Coturnix japonica: one gene and its partner. The protein of the gene in region 2 binds, or shares a complex with, the protein of the main gene of each other region. Links are inferred from orthologs where the notes say so. Each region holds a gene or a part of one and is shown on either strand. Other genes may lie near its edges.

Region 1 (3,750 bases), on a different chromosome or scaffold from region 2:
GTGGTGTTTGGTGGCTGGGCCAGAAGTTCCTATTTGTCTACAGCAAAATATGCAGTAAGCAGCCACTGACATTCTGTATATTCAGAAAAAGAAAAAAATAAATAAATTGATTTGGCAATTACAACAGAAAACTTGTAGCCATGTTTCCCTTTTTACAGGAAAGGTTGTAAAGCATATTTATGTCATTTTGTGCGTTATAAAGCACTCTAAGTAAAAATTAAAAAGCCTATAAACTCCTGAATTTAGTAGTTTGCATTTTGGTTACAGCAAAAGTTTACAGAAAATCTTCATGCAATTACATATTTGTGCTAATACTGGTAAGTATCCATCTCTGACTACCTGCTCTGCTTTGAGGCAGAGGCATTTTTCTGTGATTCTTTACAGTGATTCTGTGATTCTTTACAGTGAGGGTGACGGAGCACTGGAACAGGCTGCCCAGGGAGGTGGTGGAGTCTCCTTCTCTGGAGATATTCAAGACCCACCTGAACGCCTTCCTGTGTGACATGGTGTAGGGAGCCTGCTTTGGCAGGGGGGTTGGACTCGATGATCTCTAGAGGTCCCTTCCAACCCCTACAATTCTGTGATTCTGTGTGAGGCCTTTTCCAATGTCTTAGTAATCCTCACTTAAACGCATCATGTTCACATGAAGACAGTGCTGAGTACAGCATATGACTTAGTAATTAGCTGTTCATAATTAATTTTATCTTAACACCCAAGTCTTGTATTTTGACTTAGCAGGCTCTAACAACTCATATACATTGTAGGCAAGTCAGATTTGGAAACGTTTGTCTTTTCTTGCTGACATACCCTGTAACATCACAGTTAATAAGGGATGTATTTTAGCATCTACAGATTGAGGTTCAATGAATGTACAGTTGTAGTGTTAAGCAATGAGGCATTTCAGGCCATGTGAAAGCACCGATTACTGTATGCACCAACTTTCTGCCCTGTCTCCTTTCAGCACTGCACTTATCCACTGACTTCATTTATTACATTTCTGATAAGCACGCTCTCCCTGCGGTCGCCTCCGCACAACTGGGGCAATGCCAGCGGCCAGCCCCACGCCAGGAGGGGCTTCAAGGCTGAGGTTTGACAAACACAATCATCGGACCACGGACAGACCCCATCCCTGGCCCCTCCTACTGCCCCGCCGCCATCCCCCTCTCTCCACAGCGCTACCCGTACCTTCCGCTTCCTATCTCCCTTCGCAGCCGGCACCGTCGCTCACGCACTCAACGTCATCACGCCGCACAGTGTCAGGAGGGCAATAGGAGGAGCGAGGGCTGCACTTGCGTAGTACGTGTATGTGGGGGCAGTGGTTGGGCTTGCTGGGCCGGAGCTACTCGTTCGCCGTCCTCGGTTTAACCTAGGGACGGGTTGGAGCCTGTCTGCCTTCGCCCCGGCCGCCTTTCGCAAGGCCACGGTTCGCACACGGCAACGGGAGGCTGGGCTGCTGTCGGAGGAGTGGGTGGGGGGATGGGGCATAGCCGCTCTGGGTGCTGGCGGGGCGAGGGGGGTCCTGGGTCGCTGAGTTCAACTAAAGCGTTTCTTTGTCTTACAGGTTTCATCTGCTGTTATCTGTAACCTCAAACAGGAGTCTTTGCTGCCACCCGCACCTTGCAGCGTTTGTGAGAGCTGCGAGGATGGTGAATGTTCTGAAGGGCGTCCTGATTGAATGGTTAGTGACAGCATCAGCATCTACTCAACTGTTTCTTTAGGACTGGAAATACTTTAGGTGCTTTTAAGAGTCTAGACCCAAAAATGTATTTGCTGTAAACTTCAGCCTGGAGAAGAGAAGGCTGCGGGGTGACTTTATTGCAGCCTTTCAATAACTGAAGGGAACCTACACCCAGGAGGGGAGTAAACTCTTCGAAAGGGCTGACAATAGCAGGACACGGGGCAATAGATCCAAGTTGAAGGAGGAAAGATTTAGGTTGGATGTTAGGGGGAAGTTCTTCACTAGGAGAGTGGTTACGCCCTAGAACAGGCTGCCCAGGGAGGTTGTGGATGCCCCGTCCTTGGAGGTGTTCAAGACCAGGTTGGACGGGGCCCTGGGCAACCTGATCTAGTAAATGTGTATGTTTGGTGGCCCTGCCAGGCAGGGGGGTTGGAACTACATGATCCTTGAGGTCCCTTCCAACCCGGGTCATTCTGTGATTCTGTGACACTGAGCAAACAGACAGATGAAAGGCATGGTTTTTAAGGGAAGAAGGAGAGAGACAGTTGTGGGTAATCTTAATTCCTGACTCATATTTTCAGATATGTTGTTTTCTGCTTAGACTTAACCATCATGTATTCATCTTGTTTGTTATATTGTAAATAATGTTAATTAGTTTTCATCCTGGGTGATGTGTTCTGATTCTAAAGGGAAATTTGTCCATGCTTCGTCTTTTGTTTTCTTTTTTTATCAATTCCAGTTCGCACACTCAAGGCTGGCTACTCTAAAATGAATATGCTCATAATTTCAGACAGTAAGCTGTTCATATCCGTGCAGTCCATTTGTTTCTATACAGTCTGAAGTCCCTAGACTAAGGTTCTGATAAGAATTACCTCCAGGTTAAAGAAAGTGTCACTCAAGGTTTGTGGAGTCATTATATATCATTACATTATGTACAGGATTTCTGCTGTATGTTTAAATTGTAAACATATTAACAGACTGTAACTGCATGAGTGCAGAACATCCTTCATGGTGCATACAGCTGTCTGCCTACTGTGGTTTACTTCTGAGCTGACTGGACATTAGCCAGCTCACATCTGAATGCCTCATAGTTTGGTATGAGCAGCTTGGAGCATGAATTCCACTATCACAAAAAGTTTCTCTGCTCCAATTTGGCTGCGTGCTACTATGCTGATAAACCTGAACGCAAGAAATGGCCTTCCTGCATTTTCTCAAGACACCCAAAGCAGAGTTGTTGACTAGCAAAACAAGAAATTCTAATATCTCAAGCAGACAGTACAGCCTTGTAGTTTTTTTGTAATTTATTTTACTTGCTCTGGAAGATTTGTGTGTTCCTGTACAATATTGTGATCATTTCCCATTTAGTATTAGCTTGAAACTTTATTATCCTCCCTGGAAGGAAATAGTTTGCCTGACAAGAAGTCTGTAGCATCTGTTATGCCATCAGAGTTTGAACAGCCCCTTGGGTAACTCACTTTTATGTTGGCTTTTCTAGCTGCTGGTTGCTTTCTTGTTTCCTTCTTGCCTTTGCATAATGGTAGCTGATGAGTCCATCCTGAGAGCAGATTACAAACCTGTCCCCTTGTTTACTTTTCAGATACCAATTTTTCACAACTCAGCTTTTCCAGGGCATCTTAGGTAAAAAGTCAGCAAGAAGTTTGGAAAAAATAAATACTTCTGAATGTGTTAAACATTAAAGTAAAACATTAAAATAAAACTATGAAATGCTGATAATATACAGATTTCTTCCTTCCCTCTGTATTATTCCAGTATATAGCTAAACTGTTCTGAGGACAAAATCTCAAGGATTATAATCTTCAAATGCTGAATAAGATCGGTGTTTCTGCTGTAACGTACATCTACTGGCACTGAGTGCACTCCTGTATGTTGATTATGTGAAAATATGTGTGTATTGCCTGACATATGCCTGGGCACACCAGCTTATGCTGTCTGGTACTCATAGTGTGTTGGTAAGGTACATCTGAAAGAAACAAGCAAAAATAAACCTCTGTGCACCCATAAAAAAGAGTGTGTGGAAGAAGACTGAGGACCACCCACTTTTGGTATCATTT
Region 2 (3,046 bases):
AGAAGGAGCCGTGCTCTGGATGCCCAGGAAGGTGCCACGGGGAAAGGGTTGGCTCCTTTTCCACAAGCCTTTGGCTATCACACGGCCCACAGAGGTCAAAAGCAGCCATACCTGTGCAGCACGAGGCACATGCCCTGCTCCTATCAGACTGTGAATGCTTTACAATTAAAGACCTATTTTTCTAAAGGATTGTTTGTGTCTTCCTGTTCCCCCTGCTGTAGCACTGGCCTAAGGAGCATACACCAGTCTCTGGGGGAGGCAATAGCTGGGGAACAAACGCTCCTGATTTTCCCAGTGTCCAGCTCCCTCCTGTGGTGGCTGCCATCTCTGCAGGGCAGGTGGGCTCAGCTGGGGATGTGAGATAATAATGCCCCTTGCCTTCCAGTATCCACCTGCCAATTTCACTGTGCTGAGCTCTGGGGTCACACAGCATCACTCAGACTAGGCCAAGCCCCTCCAGGAGCTGCAGCTTGAAAGCCAGTGCCCCTGATGTGGTACCTTTGCTGTCTGCTACCACAACATCCTCCATGAGCATCCCATCTTCATCTACCAACCGGCATTCTGGGAAGCCAACCTTGCCACAACAACCACATCTAGAAAACACATAGCAGTTTAATTAAGAAGCCACATCTGTCTCAGAACAGCTCCTTAGAAAATGATGCCCAGCCCTAGCACAGACAGGTGAGTGCCCCAGTCCAGCGGCCCCTGGTTAGAGCTGGGGCTAAGCCTGCTTTTGAAGTGCAGGAAGGTGAGATCAGCAGGCAGGGCCACAGAGCACCCACGGTCTCCACTGAGAATGAGGCATCAGCCCCTGCACAGAAGGGAAACAGTCAGAAAAGACTGGGATGACAAAGGGGGAAAGTCCCCTCCTCCACCACCACTGGAGGGACTGGGCAGCAAAGGTGCTGGGGCAGGATTTGGGGTGATGGTGTCCTTTCTGCTCTCCAACAGAATGTCTCTGGGGGCAGGCAGCCCTCTGAGGTGCATCATCTCCTAGAAGGCCAACTTCTTCATCAGCAGGTAAACTCTGGAGTCCACTTCAAACCCATGCAGATTGTTTGCGTCTCCCTGAAGGCGCATGAGCAGCCCCCCATAGGACACATAAGCAGAGCTGGGGCAGGAGGAGAGGAGCAGTGAGAGCAGGGAAACCCATAGGAGACCCAGTCAAGATAACGCTGCCTCCCCACCACCCTCAGGCAACGCGTCCCCTTCTCAACAGCCACTCACAGGCGTGTGGCTGCCTCTGTGGACGTCTCATCCCCCTCAATCCTGTACACCTTGCCATACATCACGTACTCAAACTGGTCCGCCCTGCAATGACATGAGGGGAGCTGAGAGAAGCGTCAGACCATCCTTCCCACATCCCCTAACAGAGCATCCTCTGCGAGGAGGCCCCTTGTAGGAGGGGTCTCTCCCACCACTGCGAGCCACGTTACCTGGAGGGCCGGTCATCAGTGGGGTTGTACTCCCCATCATCCAACGTCCCATCCTCATACAGGGTGCTGGCAATGACCAGACGGAACTTGTCCCCTGGGAGGCGATAACAAAGCAGCGCTCAGAGCGCACAGCCGGAGCTGCCCCCCCCCCCCTCCCCGCCCGTCCCGTACCGAGATCCACGGGGTAGATCTGGATGTTGACGTCCAGGATCAGATCCATCTTGAACGACTCGCTCTCGCAGTGCAGCCGGGACACTGAGCGGGCCGGGACGGGGCGTCAACGGGAAGGGCCCGCCGCACCCGGCCCGGCCCTCGGAGCCCCGGGTGGGAGGAAGGGGCGGGGAGCGGGGGGGTCGTATCTCACCACGGTCGAACTTCTTCCCCTCGGGGTCGATGTCCTTCACATCGAAGATGTCCTCGAACAGAATGCCGGCCATGGCGGCGCCCCTTCGCTCCCGCGCCGGCTCCCGCTGCGGCGCACGGTGATGACGTGTTTCCACATCCGGAAACCTCATTCGTGGTGGGCGGGCAGAGGTGCCCGCGCGGTCCTAGCGCCGCCGGCAGCGCCCCCTGCAGGCTGGGGGGGCGCACTGCAGCGCAGGGGGCGGTAGGGGGCGCTGCGCGGCCGCGGATCGAACCGCGTGGGTCGGGGCAGATCCACGGCGGGACGGAGCTCGGAGCTGGGCGGGGGGCAGCAGCGTCACCCCACAGCCCACCCGTGTCACACCCCACAGCGTCACCTTCCCTCCGTGTCACATCCCCGGTGACACCCAGCTCCTACCGCCAGCCCCCTCCCCAAAGGGCTCAATGCGGCCGGGCTGTGTGAGCGGAGGGATGCGCTGGTACAGAGGGACACGGAGGGACACGGAGGGACACGGAGGGACCCGGGTTGGCGGCCCCGCACCTCCGGGGTCGAGGAGCCGAGGTTGGGGTGGGCAGCCCCCACACTATAGCACCTGCCCGGTGCCGCCGTCTCCTCCTTATCTGGAGCCAAACAAGCCCATCCGGCACCTGGTGCCGCTCAGAGCACACAGCACCAGCCCTCAGCCCGCCCCCAACCTGCACGGATCCCACAGACCGTCCCCAGGTGCTCTGCAGCCCCCGGTGCGCCGGGATATATGAAGGGATTTTGGGGGGGGGGGGGGCACAGCTCTGCCTTGGTGCACCCCAAAGCATCCCAGCATACAGTAGGACACACCGGGGGTCCCTCCATGTGGGCTCTCCCCAGGCTGGGAGTCCCATTGCTCACAGTGCCGGGCTGTGTGTGGGTGGGGAGGTTTAGCCGTGGGGCTGTTATCTTTCACTGATAAATTATACAACATGAGCACGGCTTTGAACGGCGGCCAGGCCTCCATCCGGTGGGGCAGCATTGGGGGGCCAACACAGCCTCCAGTGCTCTCTGATGGGGGGGATGGTGATGGAGATGGGGCCGTGGCTTTGGAGTGAAGGGCTGATGGGGATGGGGTCTGCACACAGAGGCAGAGCAGGTGGCAGAGCCACGGCGGCACCTGGGTGGTTGGGCAGCCCCAAATCCTGCACCCTAAATCCCTGCCCTCTCCCCAAAGCCTGCCCGGCTCGGGGGTGGGAGCGGTGCTTCAGAGGCGGCCGCG

The links.
Region 1: POLR2H (region 2) and GTF2H5 share a complex: the UniProt entries of both Homo sapiens proteins name them as parts of the TBP-based Pol II pre-initiation complex. The link is inferred for Coturnix japonica from reciprocal best matches to the Homo sapiens genes POLR2H and GTF2H5.

The regions. Positions count from the first base shown.
Region 1 is NC_029518.1:46,900,680-46,904,429, forward strand, and holds the start of GTF2H5 (general transcription factor IIH subunit 5), read left to right. Parts: upstream 1-1,196; 5' UTR 1,197-1,296; exon of another isoform or gene 1,297-1,423; intron 1,424-1,561; 5' UTR 1,562-1,643; coding exon 1,644-1,678; intron 1,679-3,750. Other genes in the region: protein SERAC1, read right to left, coding at 1-72. UniProt on the Homo sapiens protein: Component of the general transcription and DNA repair factor IIH (TFIIH) core complex, which is involved in general and transcription-coupled nucleotide excision repair (NER) of damaged DNA and, when complexed to CAK, in RNA transcription by RNA polymerase II.
Region 2 is NC_029524.1:13,963,167-13,966,212, forward strand, and holds POLR2H (DNA-directed RNA polymerases I, II, and III subunit RPABC3), read right to left. Parts: upstream 1,938-3,046; 5' UTR 1,874-1,937; coding exon 1,801-1,873; intron 1,692-1,800; coding exon 1,608-1,691; intron 1,531-1,607; coding exon 1,437-1,530; intron 1,312-1,436; coding exon 1,228-1,311; intron 1,112-1,227; coding exon 994-1,111; 3' UTR 593-993; downstream 1-592. UniProt on the Homo sapiens protein: DNA-dependent RNA polymerase catalyzes the transcription of DNA into RNA using the four ribonucleoside triphosphates as substrates.